Linked DNA regions of Drosophila melanogaster. The gene in region 1 interacts genetically with each later gene. Each region holds a gene or a part of one and is shown in the gene's direction. Other genes may lie near its edges.

Region 1 (4,756 bases):
ATGGCGAAAATATAAAGTAAGCATTTAGTTTTAATATATACATTCGAAATACCTTTTTCCCAATATTATGCTTAAGAGCAATTGGCTTAGTAGAGTTGCAATATTTTTATATTCTAAGAAAAGGGTTAACCATAACAAAGGCACTGCTGAATAATTGAGGCCCTTTAAATAAGATGCTTTGTGGGACGCTACTCCTCGCTGTCGTATTATTTGTTTAGCATTTGCGGAATGTCTCTGGCCTCATAAGAAAATAATGTATTCAAACTCCTGCCGCCGTCCTTTCCGGAGTTAATACCCATGCCCCTCCACGGGGCAAGTCAGGGGCCCGACTCTCGCTTATTTAACGCTCACGACGCGATCAAATTCCTCCTGCCAACATCGCCGGTTGCCGGTTTCACTCCACAAGTGGCCTGTGTTCCCTGTTCCCGACCTATTATTATCGTAATGACGGGAGCCTATTTGCTTTTGTGTTTTCGAGTCGTCCAAACGAGAGACAATTATGTATTTCTACTGGAACTGACGAACCAGGGTTCCTGTTGGAGCGTCTGCTTGGCACTGTGAAAAATCTGGACGTGATCTTGTGTTCCTTACACGTTTAAGTAATACCGGTTTTAAATTACAATAAACTACAATAACTAAATTCGACGTTGCCACTGTATTGCACTGTACTGTATGTCATAGATGAACTAAAGGTAAACTTATATTTATTATTATTTAGAGAATTAGTTATAGTAATAACGACTGTAAAAAATTTTAGCATAGATAATTCCATCGACTTTTCTCGCAGTGCGGTATGCGATCCTCGCTGCGCGCTTTAAGTGTGTTTCTGTGTGTGTAGGGCCGCTGCAGGGGCGCCACTTTGTATGGGCGTGTGTGCGTCCGTGTGTTTGGCAGACATGGGCAAGGCAATGCAACTGATATGCCCTTGATCACAACCATTCATCACATTTTGCGGCAACCAAGACCGCGCTAAATGTCGATGTTGCTTCCTCAGGTTCTCCGCTCTCGACAGCATCGAGGGAGTTGAGTTTTTTGGCAACTTCAACAGACGTATTTAACAGGGGCTAATATGTACTGAGAGTTTTTAATTTGATTCGAATTAATTAAACCTTGTATGCCTTTTAAGCATTTACCTTTTAAGACATCTTAAATAAAATTTTAAGGTACATTAATCTTTTTTTAACTTAAATTATAAAATGCTCATACTGAACACGGCTTTTCAATTATAAACATATAGTTATAGATTTCTCCTATATTATAGGACAGCTTAGTATTTCCCACATAATTTGTCTAGGAAAACTTATCAATTTTTGAAATTACCGCGTTAGCCAACACTATTTCCAACGGCACTGCCAGCATGAAGCGAGTGTGGGTGTGCGTGCGCAGGTTGTATCTGTCCGCGGAAGCGAAACGAAACTCACCACGCCATAGTAGCCATCCAACGGATGCTCTCCACTCTCAGATGTCTTGGATTCTTTGGTTTAGCACTTGTAGTAGGAATGGGAATGTGAAAAATATGAAGATATTTTAACAAGTCTTTTCTAATTAATAATAAAACTGAAGTTCTTATACATTGTTAGAACGGGAACTTTATGTATGATTCTAATTTTACAATTTCTTGGTCTCTTAATTTTTCTCTCTCTCTCTAAACCTCCCTCTCCCAGGCGCTCTCTCAGGCGTTTCTCCCACGTTTATTCCCCACAGCTCCAAAGACTATCAATCCGCACAGTTAGCGCTTCGCTCATTGCCCCAACAATTTTCAACCGCGTCGCTTGTGTGTTCTTTTGCCGTTCGAGAAATCCAAATCCGAAAGATATCAACGAAAAGATGGATACTTGACGTATTGCCACGAGAAATTTTCCGAAATAACGTTATTTGTGTTCGAGACTGCTAAATGATTTTTGGGTTAATTAAATGACAAAAAAACGCAGTTCCTAAATATCGGACTTTTTCGCCTTTCCCCGACTCTTTTTTCGCAACATTTACGGGTTTTGTTTTTGTTGTTGTAAACGCGGGCGTCGTAAACAACAAACAAGTGCAGTGAAGTTGTTGTGCGCTCTAGAACTGAAATGTGAAGGAGGAAATACATAGAAAAAGTGTGAGTGCAGCAGGCAAATCAATTGAAGTGAGAATCGAAGGGGATTGGAAATCGTCAGGCGAAAATCTTTTATTTTTGCTGCTTGCTGTTATGAATTCTATGCATTTGTTTGTGTTTGTGTGTGCAAAGAAAGAGCGAGAATTCTCCGCCCGGATAACGGATCTTCGATCTCGTTTGCGTGCGTGTGTTTTGTGGTTGTGTTCGTGTGCGAATTAAAAATCAATGAGCATCGGGGGGAAAATGCGGGCCAAATAATAAGTGTGTTCAAGCTTTAACTGAGCAAATAACAGCAAGAAAAGAAATGCAATTGTTCGCCAGCCACGTACACACATTGTACCTGCACTGGCCCATACAAACAAACAAACGTATACGTATATAGCGGTGGTAGCGACGCCGGCAGAATCAAAGCAGAGCGCAAATCGCAAGCCAACAAAAAACACCTTTTCCACCACGTTAAAAATTGTTATTGTTTTCCGGCATTCGGCTACTTCAACATAATATTCAACCGAAATCAACACATTACTCGCACCTTATTAAATCCACACAAACGTACACATGCATAGGAAAAAGTGACTGACCAGCAGCAAAAAAAGAAAAAATCGACTGCGGTTACCAATCCAATAACAAAAACCCGTCGGCACGTGTTAAACAAATTCAAATTCGTTGCTAATAGTTTGTTTCTTCTGCAGTAAATGTAAATACAAATTATCAAGTGAACCTCTAAACATATCAAATACACCTACACATATCAAAAAGTAATACTACATAAGGAAAGGATTAAACGGAAACCACCTAACAAAAAATTTTAAACAGTAAGTACCTATTTCCACTCCTTAGAACTCAAAATCAAGCCGATTTGAAGAGGTGCACTCGTGATTATGCAAAATAGCTAAGTCAACAAACAAATGCTTATCACTCATTAGCGTTATTTAAGTTTTCATATTCAATATTTTCTGATGCGGTTTCGAAGATAATTTTATATTTTATATAATACCGAGTCGCGAATATCTGTTACCAAATCGCTATAGTTTCCAATTGGACTTACAATTACTCATGCTTTCATTATCAGAAAGTCCATAACTACGTATGTATATATAAATATACATATAAATTTGTAAACGTGAATTTGGAAAAAATAATCACTCAGCGGGTTTGAATAAAAATTCTTGAGTATAGACTGTTTTCAATTGATTGTTAAATGTGCGATATATGGCTTTTGAAGTGTTGATGTGCAATTTTTTTTTTTTGTATTGGACTTGCTCTAAATACTGAATTTTATGAACGTAAACAGCTCTCTCTATTGTTCACTGGATTACACATCTTTCATAGTTTTAAATGTGGAAGGGTTTTTGTTCCGGCTGACTCAAGATTGGTAAATATTTGAAAGCAAAAGTACGGTGGTATCAATTACTTTGCAATTTTGAAGCTAAAAACTGTGGTGCATACATCGCACATCATAAATAATTTTAGATGTATGTCCATATGTAAATAATTTATTTCTGTCGCTTTCGCATTGCATTTTTTATTATTGACAAATATTAATCGTGCAGTTATACGGTTTATGTGGAGGGAATGAAGGATCTTATAAATTGATTCCTATTATTAATTATGTTTCTGTTCTTGACAAAATAAGTAAAGTCCTAAGATTGGTCTCATAAGATAATGCTACTGTTTAAAACATACCTTTTTTTGTTTCCGATTGAAAAACTCAGATGCATTCTGATAAGTTCTAATTCAAAGCTAGACTTTAAGAACGCTAAGTTCTCGACTTGATGACTTTTCAGAAGAGTTTCGAGAGCGCCTTCAATTCTAATTCCCACCACACTCGCACTCTCTGGTGGTACGTACTCTTTTGAACCACGGCTGCGGTAGATTATTTCATACTCACCTCAACCTTAAATTGTTGATTCTTCAACTTGTCAAACCGGCTGACAAACCGACCGTCGCGTCGCTCGTCCCTGTCCGTGTGTCTGTCTAAGGTGAGCGTGTGTTGGTGTGGCGCCATTCCGACGACGCCTCTGCCGCCGACATCGTTACTATTATTTCTTTTATTACGTCAGTGGCGCCAGGCATTTCCCTCTCGCTCGCACGCCCGCCGCCCTGCCTTTTTTTTACTCTGCACGCAAGCATTCTGTATGTATGAGTGAGCGAGAGAGCGCGAGTGTGTTTGATGCGGTGTGTTGGTGTTGGTGAGCGTGCTTGTGGGGCTGACTCGTAATTTTGTTGCTGTTCGTCGCTGCTGTGCTGTTTTTTATGTTGTTGCCGTCATGCCGGCGGCGCCACTTTTGTCGTCGATAAGGAGCGCAAGAAATGCCAGCAACAAAATGGAAATAGTCGCATGGGCCACACACATACACAAACACAAGCGTATTTGGGCTGTTAATTTGCGGCGCTCTCCCGTTCGTTCCCCCTTACCAATCGTTCCCCCTTACCAATCGTTCCCCCCCACCATCGTCCGTCTCTTTCTCGCTGACAGCTGATGCTGCCGCACAGATCTTTGCATATGCACTGGCGTCGGCTGTCCGTTGGTGAAAGAGGGCGGGGAGGGGGTATTACTCACTCAAGCGATCCACCACTAGATTCCTTGCCTGCCACCAGGGGCGTAGTCTGGAAATCGAAAACGGGGAATGTAGCCTTTTTATAGGAAATGTGGCACAT
Region 2 (3,846 bases), on another chromosome or scaffold:
AAGGTCTCGGATCCACCGATGGCCACCAGGCAGTATGTGTTGGTTAGTTTAGTGAAGACGCCGATGTCGTCGTTGTTCTCGAATTGGACGCGTAGAGCCATTTTCTCTGTATTTACGTGGATCCTCTTTTCCTGCTGGTTACTCTCTTTTCGGATTTACTGGCCTGACTGAGCCTGCTGCCGGATGAGTTCTGGATTCTGTTTATATGTCCGGAAATCAATTTAAATGTCGTGATGAAATTCGCACAATTTCGCTTCACGTGGTAATTTTTTTTTGATGTTGGGACGCCAGAGCTGCATAGCCATCGATTGGCTGCCTATCGAAGTGTGGGTCTATCGATACTCGTGGGTAAATAAACAAGTTCTGAACGGCGATTTCGGGGGTTTGAGGGGTCAATTGTCCCCTGTGTTGGAATGTGTTCCTAAATCTACACAAACACTCCCTAAGCTTATCCTAAACTTATAAATATTGGTTGCTATTTAAACCCCATTTCACGGTTATCCAGCACGCCCCTGAACTGTGACCCACATCCCCGATTTTAGTGACTAGTTTTATACTTATCGTGGTTGGCATTTGGTACACTACACTTTCTTATTCACCTAGATCGCCGACTCCGCGCACGGTCGCGCTCCCGTTCCCGCTCCCGATCTCGGCTGCGACTGCGGTCGCGATCCCGTTCCCGGTCGCGGCGACCGGCGCCTCCAGATCCGGATCCTCCGGCTGGCGCTACTCCGATGGCCTCCCGCTCCCGGGAACGGCGCTCCCTGCGCTTCTTCCGCTCGGATCGCTCCTTCTCGCGTCTCCTGTGCGCCGGCGAGGCGGGACTTCGGCTGCGGCCCATGGCTCCGTTTCGGTCTCTGCTTGTGTGGCGGTTTGAGTGATTGATGATGGTTTGCCTGCAGTGGATTTGAGCGGATGTTAGACTCCATGTACTCCAATTGCACCGCACGCATCCCGCTTACCGTTGCACTAGGCTGTGTCTAGCATTATTTGGGCGACACCGGCGGTGGGTAAAAACGCGCTAACTTAAAACTAAAACCAAATAAACAACGCGCGTTATCTCGCCGCGACGCCGAAACGGAATGAGGAATGCAGAATGCGGATGATGATGCGAGGGATGCGATGCAAGGGCAAAACATGGCCACCTATCGGATATCGATTGATGGTCGATTTTATCTTCGATAAAAATGTATCCTATGTATATCGCATACCGAATGTTTAAATCGATCTGTTTCCTTTTGAATATGAACTATGTATATATATTAATTAATATTTTTTAATAGCATTACCTATATTATATTTCAAATTATGCCCGGACTATGATAAATTTAACAAATTCATAATTACAAATCTTTCGTCAATACCACTTCCATAAATAGTTTAAAATATCAAAATATTACGAACTTTGCCAATATAAACGTTATATTTTCTACATTTACACAGTTTCTTCTTTTTTTTTTTGAAGCTATTAAACCACATATTTGCTCACGATCGCAGCTGAAATGAACTACTATGTTGGATCTTCTAGTTCGATCTTCAAGACCGATTCATTTTCCAAGTCGCGGGACTGCCAACTCCCGCGAAATAGAAAGAAAATGCATCTTGAAGATTAAGATACACACAACAATCCGTAAGTGCGTCAGAATTTTCAGAACCCGCGGTTCGCTGGAACTCTCGAAATAAACAACTAAATGCCACTGTACATCTGAAGCTATCGCAAGTGGATAGCGCCGTAGATATAGAAAAACAGCGATCGCAACCGATCCGTCCAAAACACGAAATAATGTCGGGACTGCGAAACACCTCGGAGGCCGTTGCAGTGCTCGCCTCCCTGGGACTCGGAATGGTTCTGCTCATGTTCGTGGCGACCACGCCGCCGGCCGTTGAGGCCACCCAGTCGGGGATTTACATAGACAACGGCAAGGACCAGACGATCATGCACAGAGTGCTGAGCGAGGACGACAAGCTGGACGTCTCGTACGAGATCCTCGAGTTCCTGGGCATCGCCGAACGGCCGACGCACCTGAGCAGCCACCAGTTGTCGCTGAGGAAGTCGGCTCCCAAGTTCCTGCTGGACGTCTACCACCGCATCACGGCGGAGGAGGGTCTCAGCGATCAGGATGAGGACGACGACTACGAACGCGGCCATCGGTCCAGGAGGAGCGCCGACCTCGAGGAGGATGAGGGCGAGCAGCAGAAGAACTTCATCACCGACCTGGACAAGCGGGCCATCGACGAGAGCGACATCATCATGACCTTCCTGAACAAGCGCCACCACAATGTGGACGAACTGCGTCACGAGCACGGCCGTCGCCTGTGGTTCGACGTCTCCAACGTGCCCAACGACAACTACCTGGTGATGGCCGAGCTGCGCATCTATCAGAACGCCAACGAGGGCAAGTGGCTGACCGCCAACAGGGAGTTCACCATCACGGTATACGCCATTGGCACCGGCACGCTGGGCCAGCACACCATGGAGCCGCTGTCCTCGGTGAACACCACCGGGGACTACGTGGGCTGGTTGGAGCTCAACGTGACCGAGGGCCTGCACGAGTGGCTGGTCAAGTCGAAGGACAATCATGGCATCTACATTGGAGCACACGCTGTCAACCGACCCGACCGCGAGGTGAAGCTGGACGACATTGGACTGATCCACCGCAAGGTGGACGACGAGTTCCAGCCCTTCATGATCGGCTTCTTCCGCGGACCGGAGCTGATCAAGGCGACGGCCCACAGCAGCCACCACAGGAGCAAGCGAAGCGCCAGCCATCCACGCAAGCGCAAGAAGTCGGTGTCGCCCAACAACGTGCCGCTGCTGGAACCGATGGAGAGCACGCGCAGCTGCCAGATGCAGACCCTGTACATAGACTTCAAGGATCTGGGCTGGCATGACTGGATCATCGCACCAGAGGGCTATGGCGCCTTCTACTGCAGCGGCGAGTGCAATTTCCCGCTCAATGCGCACATGAACGCCACGAACCATGCGATCGTCCAGACCCTGGTCCACCTGCTGGAGCCGAAGAAGGTGCCCAAGCCCTGCTGCGCTCCGACCAGGCTGGGAGCACTACCCGTTCTGTACCACCTGAACGACGAGAATGTGAACCTGAAAAAGTATAGAAACATGATTGTGAAATCCTGCGGGTGCCATTGAATTCAATTTACCACTTAGGCTAAGCACTATAGCACTATATATATAAAGCATTTCTGTGTAGATGTCCATCTCTGTACTAATCTCGAATATTTTTATACAAAAATATACAGCGCTGTACCTAACTGAAGTTCGTCTCTTGAGGAGTTTCATTTGTGGCTAGTATTAAAAGATACTTCTTCTTTATTGTCTCACATCTACTCATGATTGGGATGCACAAATTTCAAATATTTCAAAACAACGATGATAGACGCAATGTGGTACTAAAAGTACGTATTTTGATTCTGGTTAGCTCTCATTTAAAATTAACAGTCATTTCACAGCAATAAAAGGCACAATCAAGTCCTATTTGGACTTCGGCACGCTTCTTTGGATCATTCTTAATTATTTTAGGACTCAATTAGTAGGGAAGCAGGCAATATGCGCGAGGAAGCGGGCTTTATCGCTTGTGAATCCAGTGGTGGCGGAAGGCAAACAATTCCATAATCAAGTTGCCGACACGCTTGTCAATTAGCGCCGACATCAGGCGGCCATCAAACACCGGTGTCTGCACATTCAACGACACACACGCATCTCTGAAAGGAGAGCACATTAGACTGGAGTATTCTCCGCAACTTGGATTGCACTTACAAGATTTCAAACACCGGAATGTTGTTTCGGAAGTATTCCTGCAACATAAATACACCATTGACGAATTT
Region 3 (5,524 bases), on another chromosome or scaffold:
GCTAGTCGCAATGTGAATCCCCTGACGGAGTCGAAGCTCGAGAAGAATTGCAAGGCGCTGTGTGAGCATTGCGGCTGTTTGGGCTTCTACTGCGGCGAGGAGTGCCTGTGCGAGTGTAATGACGACCAATCCGATACTGAGTGCATTCGCACCATGCAGATGAATGCCAAGACGTTGAATCTACCATTCGAAATCGTCATCCAGGGACCGAGCAGCAATCGCTTTGTGCGCAACGCACAGCAGTTCGAGCAGAAGCGAGATCTGGTGGCCAGGAGCGCCAGCACTTCAATGCAGTCGCCTCGAAATCGTCGCTCAAACATAACCATCTACAAGCCCTCCACAAAGTTGGTCATTCAACGTACGGCCAATGGCTTAGAAACGCCATCCAAGGCTTCGGAGCAGATAAGGCACAAGAGGTCCGTCGATCACCTGGAGTGGTTCAATGACTTTGCCAGTTCCTTGGTGCGTCCCTCGCCACTGGGCACTAGAGCCCAGAAGCAGCAGCGTGCATCAGCCAAGCCATCGGCATTCAAGCGTCAGGCTGAGCTGGAGGAGCCGGCTCGTCGGGAACCATGGTTCCTGGAGCAGTCAGCTTCGCGACTGACTCGCCCCGCTCCACTTAAGAAGGATGCACTCTCGCGGAAGAACAAGAAGAGTCCTTTGTTCCGAAAGAGCGCCAAGAGCAAGGCGTCCAAGGAGCAGTCGCGCAAGCAACCGGAGCGAGAGATTCGGCCACTCCGCGATGCCTTGCAGGTGGTGGAGCGGATACCCAAGGTGCTTCAAGATACGGTCAGTCATCTGTCCTCCGATCCACGCACTGGGGATGTCTTTAGCCTGAATATTAGAAACGAGGATGTGCCGCAGAAAAAGGATCGCCAGCCTGAGGATCGTGTGCCACGCAGGCCTAGCGCCACCTTCCGTGGTTTCCGGCGCAATGAGATCATCCCCGAAGCCGTCACCCTGGCTGCCCCAATGGACCTTGCCCCACGAGCTCCACTTCCCGGCCAGCGTCCAGGTGGACTCCTGCTGCCCTGGCTGAGGCAGCGGCGACTGATGCGTTTGCAGCAGGCACAGGGAAATCTGTAGACCCAACATACCCAATTTACTTTCACTTTTATTATTATAATCATTTGTTGTATATTTATAAGGCATTTTGGTCTCTCAAAAATAAATATAAATTTGCACATTATAGTGTTCTGCAGTAGCAGCGAAGATAGAAGCGTTCGAAATTAAAGTATCTGAAGTAGTAAGATCTTTATGTACCTGTAACAATATGAAGGCGTTCTTAAAGATCGTTTTCCAATGAGTCATTATAGTATTCACACACGCAGGTAGAAGTTTGGTAGGTTAGACAGGTTTCTATAGAACTCCATTCTTCAGTTTCCCTATTATTTCAATTGGATCTCGAATCGAATCTCAAAGATACATCTATTCTACTGATGATCTAGTATAATAATGATAATTTGAAGAAGGAGTATTGGTGTTACATGGATTGTGGATTGATAACAAGTTACTATACTATGCTTAGGAATATTTTGCCTGAATAGAAAACCCTTGCGATCTATCTTACAGATGCCATAGATTTCGGAGTATCTAAGTAGCATACTTTCGGGCGCGGGTGCTATCTGCCGTTGGCTCCTCTCTCTCTTCGGGCAGCTCCATCACGCTCTGTGGCGACGCGTCGTCCGATTTGTTGGCAACAGGCGCTGCCGCGTCAGTTCAGTTCAGTCCGTCGCGTTCGTTCATCTCCAGTGGTCGTCGCTGTTCCGCTGCAACAGGTAGTTAAAAAGACATAGCCCGATTGGTAAAAGGTGCATTACCCGCTGGAAGCCCCACAAATAGGATGCGCGCGGTAGGGGGGTGCCCTTGAGTTCTAGATGCACAGAAAGATACATGCACGCAGATACAGATACAGATACAGATATAGCCATTGGCAGAGGGAGAAAAGCGCTTTCTTTGCGTTTGGTTAAATATTACAAAAATCGAGTGAGAGGAAGCGGGAGAGCGAGAGTGAGACAAAGAAAGAGTAATTTAAAAAAAAACAAAGAGTGCATGTTTCCATTTAATTTACATAGTTTTGCTTCAGTGTGTGACGAAAAACAAAATACAACTTAGTAAGCTAAGTAATTTGAAAATCAAAGCAAGGAGTGCAAAGGCAAAGTAGCTTAACGAAAAAAACAATAGGCAGCCAAAGATCAACGGTCGCTATCTCATATCTAGTATCTTGTATCTGAAAGATGTGTGTGTGTGTGTTTGGGTACTTCGAGAACGAGAATCTGGCGCTCAACTAAAAAAAAAAAGAAAAAAAAAAAACCAACTGCATCAATTGGCAATTGGTATAATCAATTAGAAATTGATTTGCGACGGAGTGATCTTCAACCAGTGATGATTTGATTGATGTAGGAAGTGGACAAGTCTGATTGATATGGCTAATCGCTGCACTTGTTGCACTATCGAAAACTAAAGTTATAACAAAATGTTTTTATTTCGTACCCTGTACTGGGGCGAATCAATTTCTTTTGCTCTGATAAATGAAATCATGTAATAAACTGACGTTCTGTACGAACCTTATCATGCCATATAAACAAAAACAATGGCATACTCACAGTGATAGTGGCTCTTACTAAAGAAAAACGACATACAGACACCCGCACATGGCAACGAATAACTACAAACAGCTTTATTTCGGCACCGATTGCCTTTATCTTCCGCAATTTGTGTGATAAGTTCAGCAAACTGTTTTCCATATCTGTGGTTTTTTCGGAGGAGGATAATCACGCGACGTCTGGCAGATAATCCACTCCATCCATATTCAAGTAATTGAAGGCACCGCCGATTAGAGACATACTCTACTCTGAATCATTAATAGTTACAAGACTTTAAAAGCGTGTCTAACAACTGACACATCGATTCACAAAAAGCTCCATAAAGAAAAAAAAAACTCATTCGAATCCATTTACAGAATGACTCAGTGGCGGTGAAATCCAGCAAACACACATCCATCGCAGCCAACCAACCCATCAAACATCACAGCCAAGCAAACCAATTATGGAGTTTGCCCGCCGAGTTTCCGCTCGCTTTGAAACCAAAAGACTGCCGGAGGATGTGGACGATGGCCTGGAGACGCTGGAGGAGTACAAGCAGCGCTGGCGCTCCGTCCGCATCATCTACTTTACGATGTTTCTGATGGCGCTTGGCTTCAGCATCATACTCACAGGCATTTGGCCCTACCTCAACAAGGTGCGTACCCATTTTGGTCACGCTATCCAGCTGCTTTTCAATCTCATCTCTCTTCAGCTAGATCCCGATGCGGGCAAGGAGTTTATGGGACTGATTGTGGCCGCCAATCCGCTGGGACAAATGATCTTCAGTCCGATCTTTGGGTGGTGGGGCAACAAGCTGGGCAAGATTCGTCTGCCACTGCTGCTATCGCTGTCTCTATTCACGCTGGCCAGTGGCATATACTCCTCGCTGGAACTGCGTCCGGACAATGTGAAGTACTGGATGCTCTCCTCGCGGTTCCTCATCGGTGTCAGCTCGGCGAATATTGCCCTGTGCCGCTCCTATTTGTCCGCTGCGACACGAATCAGCGAACGCACACATGCCGTTGCAATGGTTTCGCTGGCACAGGTCCTTGGATTCATCATTGGTCCAACTCTGCAGGCGGCAGTCACACCGCTGGGAGATCAGGGACACGTCTGGCTGTGGGGCAAGATGCACTTCAACATGTACACGGCATCCGGATGGATCAATGTGCTGATGAGCATTGGAAACTTCATGATGTTCCTGCCCGGAGTGTTTGAGGTGAGTGGCCAGGTTACTTGGTTCGCTCTAAAGTGTCATTAAATTTGAACACTCCTTCAGGAGCACAAAATTGCAGCTCGCGAGGTGATGGTGATGCAGGGCGGCACATCCGAGAAGGAGACTTGGAAAGGCATCAAGCCCAGCTATTTATCCGCATGGACTTTGATCGTCGCCTTCTTTGTTCTGGTATTCAACTTTGTGCTGTTGGAGACGTGAGTAATCCTCAGAGTGGGTTTTTTTTTTTTTAAACTATTGCTTCCTCGCCTTGCAGTCTGGGCACATCCCTGACAATGGATATGTTCGCTTGGTCCAACGACGAGGCCCTATGGTACATGGGCATCATGATGACCACCGCAGCTATTGTCTCCCTGGTCACGTTCGTTTTGATTGAGCCCATGTGCAAGATTATAGCCGAGCGTTATGTGCTCATCTGGGGCGGATTCTCGCTGATGTTTCTCGGTCGCGTGCTCTTCGTGCCTTGGGGTCCGGATCCGCCAAAGTTGGCGCAGCCATTCAATGCCAGCTGGAACCTAAGCGAAAGCGATCCCATCTTCTTGGGCTGCCCCACAACGCAGAAATGGTGCGGCGAACTGCCGGCCTTGACCTTAACGCAGTTCATCATTGGATTTGCCTTCACATCGATAGGATATCCCATTGGGGTGACTCTCATCCAGACCATATTCTCCAAAGTTCTGGGACCTCGGCCGCAGGGCGTCTGGATGGGCTGGATGACCGGTTCGGGTTGTCTGTCCCGCGTCCTTGGTCCAGTCTTCGTGGGATCCATCTACACGCGCCTAGGTACGTTCTGGACCTTCGGCGTTACTTCGGCCATGATGCTGGTCTCCATGTTTTGGCTACAGTGCAGCAAGTAAGCTGAAATACTATTCGTTTTTAAGGCGGTTCCCCACAATAAATAACATGTTATCTTTTCAGTCGATTACTAATCCCGCCAACATTCGAAAAGACCACACCTGTCGAGCTGAAAGAACTGAACAAGCACAATGGTAGCAAGCTGCTGGACGACCACTCACCGGACACGCACAATGGTAGCCCACCGGAAGATCTGTCTCCTGATCAGCCCATTTTGGGCAAGCACGGCAGCCAGCACTCGATTTCACATGCGTAACGACGGCTGGCTATGGAGCATCCGTAGATCTAAGACACATCGTTGCAATACTGCCCCTTAAACTAGCTTTAAAATACAGTGTTTATTTTTGCACAGTTTCGACTGATTATGCGTTTATTGGTACTACGGTTGAATGTGTAGAGGTTGCACGTCGTTGTCTAGTTCTTTTTTTTTTTTGGCGTGTTTTGCATATAGGGAGGATGCTTAAACACGTATTTCCATCTTCTTGTTTAAGTGTACGAGTAATGGTTAGTTTGGGTTTAGTAACATGTATGTGGTTTACCAAGGCGGCAGCCACAGTTGTGAAATTGTCGTCGGCATCAGCATGTGCTGCTGGTGTGCTTGGTGGTGATGGTAGTAGGCCGCCGCTGGCGACCAGCAGAGCAGCCAGCAGTCCACAGGCGCCGTTCTTCGATTGCTGGTCGTGTGGTAGAATGTGTGACCCATTGGCAGGGGCATGGGTAGTGCAACCGCTACTCAGCTGCTGCCGTGATAGTAAAACTCATCTCAGTAGGGCGCATATCTGCGACCCGGCGGCGATGGACCGCGCATTCCGCGCGACGAAATCATGCGTTCGTCGAATGCATCGCGACT
Region 4 (6,116 bases), on another chromosome or scaffold:
TATATGCGAGCGAGTCCCTCTCTGTGGGTTGTGGGTCCTGCGAGATTCGAGTCCTGTGCGTCCGTCCTGCCTTGCGGCGAAATAAAGGCGAGTGGCCCCGCTGCGCAACACAACTGCTTCCTGCAGCAGTTGCTGCACGCTGCACTTACGGTTAGACGCAAGGACACACCGTCCGCTGTCCGTTTCGGCCCGCTATCTGACCATCTACAGCTGTTTTCGGCTGCCCAAAACAATGCGGCCATAATGCAGCAAAACTCTCAATTTAATTAGACCGTCAATTGTGCAAGCCCTCGAAAGTAGGGAGAAATATGGGCATATTTGACATAGGGATGTCCTAGGTAGATGGGCGTCCGGGGGTTCGCCAGTTGGGAGTACCTGGCCCACTGGCCAGAGATTTCACACTCTTCTTCTAGTTACCCACCCAAAGCGGAATTGCGACAATATCAAGCCGAACTCATCGAGATGGTCAAATATCAGCGCTGCGATTATCAAAATAAATAATTTGAGGTGAGTTATAAATGTATCAAAAAATGATGAAACAACTTAATGTTTTACGATTTTTATGTAAATCTTTATTAATTAATTACCCATACGAACAGATTTAGGCATATATATGTATATTATTAACTTCATTTAAACAACTTGAATCATGTCAAATGAATTTGAATGGTATATACATATATAATAGATTGTGAGTGCCAAAATCACTACTTCAGTTATATTGATTGTGGTTCGAACACGTATAAATAATATTACTATAAAAATGTATATATTATGTATTATTATATATATTACTACTGGTATTGAGAAGAATTGTAACTGCACAATTGGTTGATTCCTTAGTGCTTTATCCTATTTTACGCTTTATTCCTTATAATTACTAAATTAATTTTAATATACAAAATATATAGCAATTTACTAGTTGTTAGAAAAAGTTGAAGAAAATGTAATATTGGTTAACGTTCCTCGTGGATAGTTCTCGAATGGATAGTTTACCTGGATTAGCGAGCTGAATAGCGGTGTTATGTTGGTCATTTCCGTTGATCACTTTCTAGACCGATTTGAATGTCAGGACTTTTTGGGAGGGGTGAGCAGGCCGCTCAAGGTCACCCAGAGAGTTTGAGAGAGGGAGAGAGAGAGAGGACCTAGCTGACCGGGCTTAGAAGAGTGAGACAGAGCCAGGTAGGCCTGGTCTTTTGGGGCACCAGGTAGGCTGCCTCTCTTCTTTTCCCGCTCTTTGAGTGAGTGACGCGGATTGGGCAAGTGGGAAAATTCCAGTTGCAATGGCGACCGGCCCAAGATCGCCCTGGTCCGCAGGAGCGAGCGGGATGGCGCGCGAGGACAGCCGGTTGGCAGGCTCAAAGACGGCACCAATACACACTTCGGCCAGGTAGGCGCATACGCACACACGTGCAGGTGACCTGGGAATAGGATACCCCGAATACGATCGGTGAGAGCGGGCGCGGGAGCGGGACAGCCTGCGGTTCTTCGGATCTGAATCTGATCGGTCCGAATCGGCGGTCTTCTTCTGGCTCGGACCATGGCGTACCGCTCGTCGGCACTCGGCGGGCAGCGACGCCGGCAGAGGCCGCTCAGCTCGCCTCAGTTCCCATTTCAGTTTCGGTTTCGGCCTTTTGGCGCTGCTCATCGGTCGGTCGGTTGGTCGGTGGTCGGTCGGTATCGCTCTGGTATTCTGGTATCTGGTATCCGCAGCCTCTCAGCGAAGAAAGCTGGTCAAATCCAGCGCGACTTTGGGCTCAGTTCGGTTTCACACTCGAACGCGAGCAGAAGTGTCCGCGAATCAGTCTCCAAAGCATCGAAATCACCAAATCAGAACACAAACTGAAGCACGGATTTGAACTCGATCTGTGGTCAAGTGGTCTCACAAATATTATATATAAATACATTTTTTTGCGAGTGTTGTGCTGCAAGTGTGTCCATTGAAAACCGCCGGAAAATCAACGAACAACGAATCTCGAACGATCATCGAACATTTGGATTAACGTACAGACTTTTGGGAGCTCAGGCGCAGCACAAACCACGGGGATCCCGCGAGGATCCTGAACGATTCCATTTTTCATCTATAATGCGGTGTGTGTATTATTTTTAATTTGATCAAGACTTAAGAGCAGGCACAATTGGAGAGTGGAGAAGCGATCGAAAAGGATATTTTGGTCAATATCAATTCTCCACTCTTCAAGTGACTTATCAACAAGAAACGACCAACGATCTACTGTTAAGCAAAAAGGACATTCTGTGACAGCAACTGCAATTTTGGGAATTAGGATTAAATTATATAGTTTAATTAATTCGCTCTGCATTAAAATGCAAATCCATTCAGGATATTGTTACTTGTGCGAATCCTTTCCGTTCGTTTTTAGCAGCAAACGATCTTCAGTCTCGAATTTTAATCCTGTCAGATAAAGTAGCTAACTTGAATGGAGAATTTGAAATGTTCAAATTTTAGAATTAGCCCCAAATCCAAAATTCAACCTCAAAAGTTTCCATACACTTTCACACACTGGAAGTTAAAGCCAAGCCAAGCCAGAAGGCAGAGATTTGTCGCCTGGAGAAGATTAGATCCTCGAAACTTGGATCGATACGTCTTCGTTATTCGCTCAGGCTACTCTCGAGTTAATTGTCTAAATTAAAAAGTTTCCCCGCCCTCAATATACACACATATCGCTCTGGAAAAGACAAAAAAAAAAAAACAACGAAAAGCAAAAAAAACCGCAAAACAAACATAGAGAAAATGTTAAAAAAATCGAACCAAATTGTTGAGACTGTTGTCTGGTTGCAGTTGCATTCGCATTGAAGGAGGCTCGGCCGATCATCCGACCCGTAATCCCGATCACCTCAGAGCTCCAGCATCGAAGCACCCGACCACCCAATCCCACCCAGTAACCCATCCACTCCCAAGGGAGTCCAGTTAGTTAACCATCTAGTCAGGGAGGAACAGTGATAGCAGTTGATCGTTGGTCGTCGCGCGTTGTAGCAGAAAATTGAATTTACTTTTGCATTCTCGATACTCATAGTGTTTTTTCTCCACATCTCTTCCCTTCTGACCCCCCATCCCCACCCTTCACATATATCCTATATATATATATTGTAACCCCGTTCGCTGTATCTGCACACTGATTTCGATACGGACCGCGGACAGTAGTTGGTTGGCAGTGCGCTGCGACCACAGCTAAAAACAGCACCACGGCAGCCGGCAACGGAAACGGAAACATCAGCGGAAGCGGTAGCGGTAGCGGTAACGGATTCCGGCGCAGAAGAGAAAGTGGCTACCATGCGGCGATGGCTCGTCCGCTGCTCCTGCTCCTGCCCATCCTACTCGTCCTGCTCCTTGCCGCCCAGTTGCCCCACCTCGCCGAGGGGCGCAGCACCACCAGCAGCGGCGGTCTAACGGTTATCGATAGCGAGCGCCTGCGCATTCGCACCACCTCCAGTACGGCTTCAGCTCAGCATCCCAATCAGGGCACGATCCCTGCCAGCGCCGCTAGTCCGCGCAAGCGCCACAGAAAGCGGAACAGCAACTGGATCGACTATCGCAACTTCGACGAGAACACCACCGCCCTGGAGTGGGCCAATCCCTGCGGTGGCAACTATCATCCCTCGGCGGGTGATCGCTTCAATCGCCAGCGTCCCAGGCAGGTGAGTTCAAACGGCAGCGCTCTTTGGACCCGATCCATATGTAATCCGCTCCCCATTTTATCTGCTTCTCCACAGAGCTTCAATCAGCTGAAGCGCCACGCCTTTCGGGAGTACCGCAGCCTAAACAGTAGCCAGGACTCGGCCATAGATATCCGCAACATGACCATGTGGTCCCTCCACACGCACAACTACAAGTTCCTGCCCAAGCTCAAGCCCAATTCCACGGTAAGCAATCCTACAGTCATACTTTTTATCTATTAACTTAGTTGTCAAAACTAGTTACTAAATCCATCTCGTTATCAACTTTGTATCTATGTATCTTGAAAATAGCTCAATTATCTCGTTATCAACTTTGTATCTATGTATCTTGAAAATAGCTCACAATTGTCTCCATCTTTTTGATTTCTTCCACAGATTGCCCTAAAGCGCTGGTACCGCAACATGCAAACTTACGTGGCCAGCTTTGCGTATCTGAGGCGCCAGCAGATCCGCTGGGATCAGCGGTCCATCACCCGCGAGTCCAGCACCGCCCGCGAGCTGCGCGAGCTGCTCCTGAGCTCGCGGCGCATCCTCTGCGAGCTGGAGACAGCCGTCAACCAGACGCAGAGTCCGCGCCAGAAGCAGCGGCGCAGTGGTGCGGCGGTCACAGCAGTTGGCGGCACCACCATGCTGGGTCAGCAGCTGCCACAGATCTCGCGTCTCGAGATGAACAAGCGTTTGAAGCTGCGCTCCAAGACGAGTGGGCCCGGTATGGGTGGTGCTGCTTCCAGTGCATCCATGGCGGCGGGCGAGGCGGACTCGATCGATATGCGCTTTGTGAAGCACCACTACTACGACTTTTTGCGCACCATGTACCAGCTGCTGCGGCGGGATGGCAAGCGGGTAAGGAGTCGGCCACGGAAGCACCACAAGAAGCAGCAGAGGAGCCAGAAAAAGTTGCTACAGCAGCAGCAGCAGCTGGCGGATCAACTGGAGCAGCGTTGGCGCAGCTCCACCTTGAATGGCAAGGAGTTCAACGAGGTATCCAAGCCAGTGGCCGGTGGTGCTGCTGGAGTTGCAGATGTTGCAGGTGTTTCCGGTGGTGGAAGCAACCAATTTGCACGTGGCAGACGTGGAAAGCGCCAGTCGAAGCGCGTGCAGCGCACGTGAAATAGCATACACAACATTCCCATATCTTTCCATTTCCCCTTACCTCAGGACTCGCCCCTTTCCTCTGTTCTACAAACCCCTAGCCTCAAATCCTTAATTTAACCGTTAATTGATCGATAGTAGCTTAAGTAAATTATTTGATTGACAGCACATAGTCTCTGTTCTCGAATTCATTGCAAGTATTACCACATTCCGTATTTATTGACATTCGTCGAGAGTGAGAGAGAGGGAGAGAGAGAGAAATAGAGAGAGAGATATAGTTATATAGCATACGAAACCACAATCTGCAGTTGCCGTTCTAGTCACATAAGAGCAACCGCCAACCACCACCCACTGGAAAGTATTATTCGCCACGCCCGCTTTGTAGCCCATTCCGCACCCGCATCGAGTACTATGTGACCCCCAGTAGGCTAAGCTAACCCATGGCATTCATGATCATAATTCCATATCCATATCCTTTAGGCTAAACTTTGATCCTAAGGCACACACACACACATTTTTTTTTTTTCGTAGGCTAGCTTGTGTTTCGACATCTGTGATATAGTGCTTGACTAGTTCGTATTTAACCTAATTGTACATATATATTATATATAGATCGCATTGGGGTGGCATGTGGCCGCATCCATGCCTTCGTAGTCCTAAGCTCGCCCTTAGAAATCGATTTTCGTATTTATAGAACCGACCGACATATGACTAAGCCAGCAGCGGAATAAAGCGAACAATAAACTGAATTGAATTTGAAAATAAATCTGGATTGCATTTCATTTTTGGGAATAAATGGTATACATATATCCATTTGGATATACTTAAATTTATGATGGAAAAGAACTTCGTACTTCCCATTTTGAGGTTCAACGTTTTTATCTTATATTTCAAAATTGAAATACCCGAATATCGAATTCAATTCTATATATTTTTATATCTTTTACCATCAAAAACCTATCAACCAACCTATCTTATGTGGCCAACACTTTCGCGTACATTGAATCCCTATACCTGGGGGAGTCAATTACTCCAATTCCCTTGACCCACTTTCTGCGGATTCGCTTTCTGCTGCGCCTTGGATGCGTCTTTATGGCTCCTCCATGGGTCATGGGTTTTATGATCTCCAGCGGCGTCAAACTATTAGCACGTCAGGCTCCCAGTTCCCCTCGATACCGAAACCGATCCCGATCCCGATTCCGATTCCGATCCCCACCTGCTTGTCTACCTGTGCCCAGAAACCCAGAGGAAATGAATGGACTGTGATCAATGGAACCACTCAATGAAAGTTCGCGCCAAGTGCATCAGAACTACATATACTCGTAAAG

Evidence for each region.
Region 2: of Dad (region 1) and gbb, changing one suppresses a phenotype caused by changing the other (phenotypic suppression), as found in Drosophila melanogaster (one study listed by BioGRID).
Region 3: of Dad (region 1) and Cln7, changing one suppresses a phenotype caused by changing the other (phenotypic suppression), as found in Drosophila melanogaster (one study listed by BioGRID).
Region 4: of Dad (region 1) and upd1, changing one enhances a phenotype caused by changing the other (phenotypic enhancement), as found in Drosophila melanogaster (one study listed by BioGRID).

The regions. Positions count from the first base shown.
Region 1 is NT_033777.3:17,052,265-17,057,020, forward strand, and holds the start of Dad (daughters against dpp), read left to right. Parts: upstream 1-1,742; 5' UTR 1,743-2,098; intron 2,099-2,632; exon of another isoform or gene 2,633-2,771; 5' UTR 2,772-2,910; intron 2,911-4,756.
Region 2 is NT_033778.4:23,849,972-23,853,817, forward strand, and holds gbb (glass bottom boat), read left to right. Parts: upstream 1-1,590; 5' UTR 1,591-1,783; coding exon 1,784-3,151; 3' UTR 3,152-3,276; downstream 3,277-3,846. Other genes in the region: ytr (yantar), read right to left, coding at 600-841; eIF6 (eukaryotic translation initiation factor 6), read right to left, coding at 1-101; bgcn (benign gonial cell neoplasm), read right to left, coding at 3,588-3,723, 3,779-3,846. UniProt on the Drosophila melanogaster protein: Required for the growth of imaginal tissues and for patterning of the adult wing.
Region 3 is NT_037436.4:7,341,384-7,346,907, reverse strand, and holds Cln7 (Cln7), read left to right. Parts: upstream 1-1,724; 5' UTR 1,725-1,778; intron 1,779-2,523; exon of another isoform or gene 2,524-2,816; intron 2,817-2,962; 5' UTR 2,963-3,048; coding exon 3,049-3,240; intron 3,241-3,297; coding exon 3,298-3,804; intron 3,805-3,864; coding exon 3,865-4,016; intron 4,017-4,075; coding exon 4,076-4,672; intron 4,673-4,737; coding exon 4,738-4,930; 3' UTR 4,931-5,024; downstream 5,025-5,524. Other genes in the region: CG14834 (uncharacterized protein), read left to right, coding at 1-1,086; lark, read right to left, coding at 5,438-5,524.
Region 4 is NC_004354.4:18,304,784-18,310,899, reverse strand, and holds upd1 (unpaired 1), read left to right. Parts: upstream 1-1,608; 5' UTR 1,609-2,091; intron 2,092-2,640; exon of another isoform or gene 2,641-3,163; 5' UTR 3,164-3,300; coding exon 3,301-3,657; intron 3,658-3,732; coding exon 3,733-3,882; intron 3,883-4,071; coding exon 4,072-4,806; 3' UTR 4,807-5,546; downstream 5,547-6,116.